Linked DNA regions of Caenorhabditis elegans. The protein of the gene in region 2 purifies or fractionates together with the protein of the main gene of each other region. This does not show direct contact. Each region holds a gene or a part of one and is shown on either strand. Other genes may lie near its edges.

Evidence for each region.
Region 1: the proteins of mrpl-44 (region 2) and ran-5 fractionate together in Caenorhabditis elegans (co-fractionation; one large-scale study listed by BioGRID). This does not show direct contact.

What each region holds. Positions count from the first base shown.
Region 1 is NC_003280.10:6,046,457-6,050,209, reverse strand, and holds ran-5 (RanBD1 domain-containing protein), read right to left. Parts: upstream 2,102-3,753; 5' UTR 2,100-2,101; coding exon 2,033-2,099; intron 1,984-2,032; coding exon 1,871-1,983; intron 1,822-1,870; coding exon 1,666-1,821; intron 1,618-1,665; coding exon 1,483-1,617; intron 1,436-1,482; coding exon 1,321-1,435; intron 1,275-1,320; coding exon 1,183-1,274; intron 1,134-1,182; coding exon 789-1,133; 3' UTR 524-788; downstream 1-523. Other genes in the region: R12C12.6 (Transmembrane protein 9), read left to right, coding at 2,343-2,546, 2,598-2,737, 3,311-3,654, 3,710-3,753.
Region 2 is NC_003281.10:9,087,719-9,091,471, forward strand, and holds the start of mrpl-44 (Large ribosomal subunit protein mL44), read right to left. Parts: upstream 1,658-3,753; 5' UTR 1,656-1,657; coding exon 1,601-1,655; intron 1,553-1,600; coding exon 1,444-1,552; intron 1,309-1,443; coding exon of another isoform or gene 1,017-1,308; intron 971-1,016; coding exon of another isoform or gene 373-970; intron 318-372; coding exon of another isoform or gene 13-317; intron 1-12. Other genes in the region: mccc-2 (putative methylcrotonoyl-CoA carboxylase beta chain, mitochondrial), read right to left, coding at 13-317, 373-970, 1,017-1,308, 1,444-1,552, 1,601-1,655. UniProt on the Caenorhabditis elegans protein: Component of the mitochondrial ribosome. May have a function in the assembly/stability of nascent mitochondrial polypeptides exiting the ribosome.

The sequences.
Region 1 (3,753 bases), on a different chromosome or scaffold from region 2:
TTCAAACTTTGAACTTCAAAGTTTAAACTTCAAAACTAAATTCAAAGGGGTTTATTACAAAGACGCCAAAAAACCGGTACCGGGTCTCAACGCGACAACTTTTTATTAAATGCAAGAAGGTGTGTGCACCTTTAAGGAGTACTGTAACTTCAAACTCTCATTGATGCGGAATCGATTTTTCCTCTAGATTTATAAAAATTGAAGTGTTTCGGTGTTATTTTAGAGTTTATAAATAAATTGATACAATTTTTTTTTAAGTATTAAAAATTGTCGTGACGAGACCGGCTACCGTATTTTAGGTGCAAAAATCGCGTTTGTTATACTCAAAATTGATATTTAACTACAAAAAAATCTTCTCCTACTGAAACAATGCTACAGAATTGACAAGGTGATAAATGATCATGGTGTTGCCAATTGAATTCTGAATCGATCACCCCACAACGATCGTTATCTCGCTCTCCTCCTCCTTCAGTAAGAGCGCCACTGATAACCGAAACGCCATTGTCTAAGTGTCTTCTTGATTGTATTTCTGCTTTTTATTGCAAACTCTTCTCTTTTTCACAAACCAAATATATTCGACAAACACATAAAACGGGATATATAAGAATAAAACGAAATTGGAAAGTTAGGCCAGATTGGTAGAAATCTAGAAGAAATTTTTAGCAATAAAGAAATTAGACTTAAGGGGAAATGATTTGAGTTGGGTGAAAGTTGGAGACCATTTTTGTGGGGATTGGAAGGAGAAAAAAGAGCACAGGGGAAGTTGAAAGAAGCAATGACTGATATGGTTATTCGGAAGGAGTTGAGCTGGATGCAGATTCTTCGGCAGCTGTAACAGCTGGTTTTTCTTCTTTCACCTCATCTTCTGTTGGCTTGTTTACAATGACAAATCCTTCATCAACTTGATCTTGATCACCTTCTTCTTCTTCCTTTCCATCCTTGATTTTAACAGTTGAAGCGTTCAGATCACAATCCGCTTTCCTCTTCCGACTATTCTCTCCCTTCTCCAATTTCAGCAGGTCGCTCATAATATTGTAGAATATATCCGAATCGGGGATCGTCTCAGTTTTGGTGAATCCGATTTTTAGAAGGAAAATCTGAACACCGCTGATCTCTGGTCCCATTGCGGAAATCTGTAAACAGTAACAATAAAACATATATTCATATAACATTAAAGCTCACTCGAATTCTCTTGTCGACCCGCTCCAAAAGCATATCAGAGAAAATTTTGGAATTTATGATGACACGAAGAGTACCGGAAGATGTTCTTGCCACTGAAAATAATTTTGAATACAATAAACTCTAACTATCAGTATTTACCAATTCGGTGGTGCGTCAGTCCGTTCTCGACTCGTTTGTTGATCCTGAGATTGCAGACACCCTTTTCAGAGTAGGCATTTTTCAATTTATCAAACGCCCAAATTTTGCAAGGAGCCTAAAGACAAATAAATAAAAATTATGTTTTAATGAATACTGCCTCACTTGGAAAATATTAGTATCGTTCTCTTCCCCGGTGGTGATTTCGACTGAACTCGTTCCGGCATGCTGCTTTTCGGCTTCCTTTGCTCTCTCCGCTTCTTGTTCAGCTTCCTTTCTGAAGTTTTTGGCTCCATTTTTCTGAAATTAACATTATGAATAGAAATATTGATTCGAAATATAGATTACATCGTCATCTTTTTTAACTGCATTTTGGAAGAGCTCAGTTGCTGTCATGGTCTTTTCGTCTGAACCACCCGGCTTTGTTGAATCACCTTCTTTGTTCACAACACGATCTGATATTTTGGAGCCAAAAACAAATGCTTGTGGAGCCTCTTCGACTTCCTATAATTAGAAGAAAACGAATTTTTTGACTCATTGTGTTTCAACGAACTTTTTCATTTGCAACAGGCGCATCTGCTGATTTCGGAATAATATCGCCCAGCGATTTCTTTTCCAAATGAACGTGGTTGATTGTTGAATGAGTTGCTGTGTATTCTGTTTTGCCTGCAAATTCACGTGACTTAGATAACATAACACAAAATTGAAAACTTACTATCTGACCACAGTTTATCTGCCTTGGCAGCTAAAGCAGACGGTTTGAAAGCAAAACCTTTTGACATGACTGAAAATAGTAACGAATGAATTAAAAAAGACAAATACCGGATAGAAATTGCAAAAAAAATGCGAAAAATCGATTATTAGTATTCATGCAGACTGAAATGAAGATAATTAGCAAGTAATTTAGACTGAGAACTGAAAAATTACTCAACAAGCAGAAGAAAAATTGAAATTTAAGACAAAAATAAGTGCAAGTTTTTATTTCTTCGATTTTCGTTGTGAACATCATAAAAGTGAAACGAAGAATGCGTCAGCCATCGCGAAAAGCGCCAGTAAGTTGCACTGGCGCACTTCTTGTTTTACTTGTATTCTATTTTTCAGAGCATTTTTTATTTTCTTGCAAAAATAAAAAAAAATACAGTCCAACTTCCGTAATTTTTTCAGATTTAATGATATATTTATTTATTGCTTTACTGTTTCTTCCCGCATTATCCCAAGCAGGGACTGAGGTTTGTTTCATAACTACTTTTATAAAGATATAATTTAATAAATATTTTCAGGCTAACTTCGAAGATACACGATGTCGATGCATTTGTCCGAGTCTTTTAAAATTTCTCGACTTGGCTGAAAATACAACTGAAAAAACAGAAGGATTGAGGAGACGATTTTATACAAAAACTAACATCGAACCGAGCCATTGGTGAGTTTTTTTAATTTTAAATCTGAATTGTTTTAATAGAAAATATAAAATATCAAATCCGAATATGTAAATATCTCCTAGTCACTCTGATATTTTTTGCTAAAAATCCACATCAAAAATAACTTGGCAGAGTTATGAAATTCTCCCACCTTTATGGTATTATTTCGCTCAAAGCAATTGCAAATTTGAATTTCTTTTTTTCATCGAAATTTGAACGTTTCCGACTGTTTTATAAACGTTAAAATTTGAGAAATTTTTGTGGGAACTTTAGTCACAGTTTTAATTTTTTCTCTTTCAGAAAACCACAAATATGATTTAGAAAAACAATTATTTTTATTTTCTATTGCTGAGAATCTACATCGTTGTAAAAATTCGAATAAAAATAAATCATAACCATGAAATCTCGAATTTCTAAGTCTTTATTTTCCTTCCATTTCATCAAAAAAACATGTTGATCAGTTTTAAAACATTTTCAACACTTATTTTTTTAATTTTTTTCAACAGCTCAAATTCATCATTTACACAAATAAACCTTAAATTCGACAAAGAAATATAATTTTTCAAACATTTCAGCAAGCCAAGCAACATTGTGAAAGATCAAGTCAGTAACTTCGTTGACGAGACCCATATGGATGCATTTCTTGCAAATTGCGACTGCCGTTATGAGTCACGAAACACTGTGCTCTTAAAAGTAGTTGTAATATTTGTAATCTGTGTGATCGCTGTTTTAACGGGATACATGGTATTCCTTATGTGCCTGGATCCAATGCTCCGGAAGAAACGATTATCGATCAGTTATCAACAACATAATGATGAAATGGAGGATAATATCTTTGCTGCTGCTCCATCAACTGACGATGAATCATCTTCAGCAAGTAATTCAATGGATACACAAGGAACCACACGTGCGAGAAGTAGTAAGTGCTCCATTTGAAGATTTTATAGTTTTTACTAAAAAAGTATTTTCTTCAGATGTTCTCGGACGCGTCGAGGCCGAACAGAATCGTTGGATGAAG
Region 2 (3,753 bases):
GTCGAATCATACCATGAATCCAGTGATATTTTGAAGGAAAAGAAGAGGAATCTTCCGTTGACAACACAGCTCAATAAAATGAGAACCTTTCATGGCACTTTCAGCAAACAGAACACCATTATTAGCTAGAATTCCTACACGCTGCCCATAAATAGTAGCAAATCCGGTCACAAGCGTCTCTCCATATCTCTCCTTGAATTCGTGGAATCGAGAGCCATCGACAATTCTAGCGATAACCTCGCGGACGTCGTATGTCTTTTTGAGATTAGATCCCACGATTCCGTAAATTTCCTCAGCTGGATACAAAGGCTCATCAGCTGAAAATTTTGAAGAATGAGAATTAGAAACATGAATATTTTACTATTGTAATACCGTTTGGATTGAAGGTCATATGCTCCTCGACTGGTGGTAGTCCCGCGATACAACTTCTTGCCAAGTACAAAGCATGTTTATCATTATGGGCATAATAATCAGTAACACCCGATTCTCCACAGTGAAGATCAGCTCCACCAAGTTCCTCGGCAGAGATCTCTTCTCCAGTTGCAGCTTTCACAAGTGGTGGTCCTCCAAGGAAAACAGTTCCGGTTCCTTTGACAATAATGGCTTGATCAGACATAGCTGGAACGTAAGCTCCTCCTGCTGTACAACTTCCCATAACTACAGCCAATTGTGGAATTCCTTCGCTGCTCATTGTTGCTTGGTTGTAAAAAATTCTTCCGAAATGCTGGCTGTCGGCAAAGATATCTGCTTGGCGTGGAAGATTTGCGCCACCAGAATCTACGAGATAGATACAAGGCAATTTGTTTTCGCGGGCGATTTCTTGTGCACGAAGATGCTTTTTTACGGTGATAGGATAGTATGTTCCTCCCTTGACAGTCGCATCGTTCGCTACAATGACACAAACACGACCAGAAACTATTCCAACTCCAGTGAGAATTCCACCAGATGGGACTTCCTCTTTTCCATACATCTGAAAAGAAACAGTCAATTTCAAATCGGATACGAATATCGTTTACCTCGTATCCAGCAAGTTGACTAAACTCTATGAATGGTGATCCAGCATCGACAATGCCGTCAATTCTTTCTCTTGCAAGCATTTTTCCACGACTGCGGTGTAATTTCACGGCTTTTTCTCCTCCAGCTTGCTCGATTTTAGATATTTTTGCTTTCAAATCTTCCACGAGAACCTTCATTTCAGCAGTGTTAGCAGCAAAATCGTCCGAAGAGTTGTCGATGGAAGTCTTGATAGGAGCCCATTGAAGAGTTGACTTGTCAGCAGAGCAATGATGATTACGTACTTGCACAGAACTGAGATGGGTTAAGAAAATACTTAAACCGCTTGAGTTTCAAGCGATTTTCAATTGCAATTAGCAGCACAGTGAGTCAATACAGTGGGAAATGGGAAACGGCTTTTGTATGACATTTTTCTGAGAAAAAACTTACCAGTTTGGGTATGAAGATCGGGAAATTGCTGGATCAGCTCCAAGAATCTGTCGGCGATGGTAAAGGTCCTTCAGGTATCCTCGCTCCCATCGAGTACGCAGCAACCGGTCTGGAAAACAGATATTGAATATCAAAACTAATAATTGCTCAAACTCACATGACTGAATGGATGTGTTTCTTGAGCCCAAATTTTGAGCCACGTGACGGAACATTACTGCAATTAAAAGCTATGAAAAACATCGATTTGGAATAAAAGACTGTCCAACTCGAAAAATCAGCGTTCAATGGGCAAATTCTGACGAATTCGGCAAGTAAGAAGATTATTAAGATTGCAATAATAATTTTCGCACATTTTTCGAACTAAAAATCGTTGAAATCGTAAAAAATAAAGGGGAAAAACTTATTTGCAAAGTTGATGATAAGAAAAAAACACCGAGCAAAAACTTGACTAAACTGGGCGCACGCGGGATATCGGAGTCTCGTACCCGACAAAACGCGGGCGTTCAAATTAGAGTTTTTGTCATTTCATTAGAATTTTGATATATGCACAGCAGATATCCTTCTAAAGCCGTTCCATAAGTTGTCAGCAAAATATACAATATACAATTAAATGCTGTATTCCACCTCTATGTTCCCTATGAATTCGTTCTAATTTATACAAGTACAACATAATATGTACTTGCATTGATTACAAGTACATGCAATATTTTCTCACACCATTATACTTGAACACCTGAATCATATAATTGACAGCAGTGACTAATTAGAATAACATGCACGTCTTCCTGTCTGAAATTTATCCGGTCATGAACTTTCCAAGTCATGGGAACCTAGGCAAGTGACGTGGTTATCTAACTAGCCAGTTAGATAACCACGTCACTTGTGCTAAGGTCCTTCCGGTACGCAATCGTATTCTATCTACTAATTAATAATAATTTTCTCATAGCCATTAAATATTTAACTTTCAGAATATTCAAAATGTCAATTTGATAAATCGAATTTAAGATGTTAAGAAAATATTAAATTCAGAAAAAAAATTATCTTCAAAATTCAATACCGTACCGTTCAATTTTTAATAAACATATGTTCTATAGCCCAATTTGATACACCAATTACTCTCAGCAACTCTTCATTTATCTTTTAGGCATTAGGACCTTATAAGGTGGTACCAAAATTTTCAGCCACCTGGCTAATTCTAGCAAGTTCCGTATAAGTAAAAGGTATAAATCAGAAAACTTAAGAATTTGAAAATATCCACAACTGCTTAAAAATTCAATTAAAGTTGTAAAATTAATCCTAACTCCTTGTGCTGTACAAAACCCATTTTATGGAAACATTCAGAATCCCCAATACTTTTTCTCTTTTCTCACATGACCTTATAGTTTATCTTCCGAATGCTGAATGTTTTTTCTTCAGTACAAATGTTTTGAATACCTAGGTAACCTCGAGTATGAGAAACAACATTAACAATGTTTTGGGAGAAACATGTAGTTTTGTACGTCCGGTCCAGTGAGAGTTTTCAACTTATTTTGGAAGAAATTTTTTTTTGACAAAATTTTGCAATTTCCCACGCAGAAATACGGTATGCCCCGTATCTCGCCACGAACATAATATTTTAAATTGACGGAAAGGTGTGCGCCTTTAAGAAGCACAGTAACCATTTTCCGGTTTTTTTTTTGAAATTGCCTTTGATTTTTACTTTTTTCTCCCAAAAACGAGAAATTTAATATAATCCATCAAAATCTTTGTGAACGAGAGAAATATAGTGAAAAACTCAAAGAAAATTGCGAAATGGATTACTGTACTCCATAAAGGCGCACATCTTTTCGAAAAATCGTGAAAAATTGCATCTGACCAACAGTTTTGCGTGGAATCTTCCTAGATTCAAATTTCCTATGAGTCATAAAACTATCATTTTATCGGACAATAACTACACGTGTACCTTGTTTCCATATGTTCTACCAATATAATTTGTGTTCATATGTGGCCAGGTACGGGAAATTAGAACACGGACTGATTTAGGAAGGTTCAAATTCGAGAACAATGGACGACTTGCTGCACGAAAACGTGGATTATTCTGAAACCGCCTATGTGATCACTATCGATTTAGCACTTCGGTTTTCTTTTTCCGTTTTCCTTTATATTCCGTATTGTATGCCGACAATAACGCTTTTTCTTTGTATAAACATTTCCAGAAGCAGAGCAAATTTGTTTATTCCAGAATTGACTGAATATTGAAATAATGTTTACAGACATACTGTAGATTTTTTTCTATTCAAACATGAATACAGTTTTTCGTATTTTTAATCT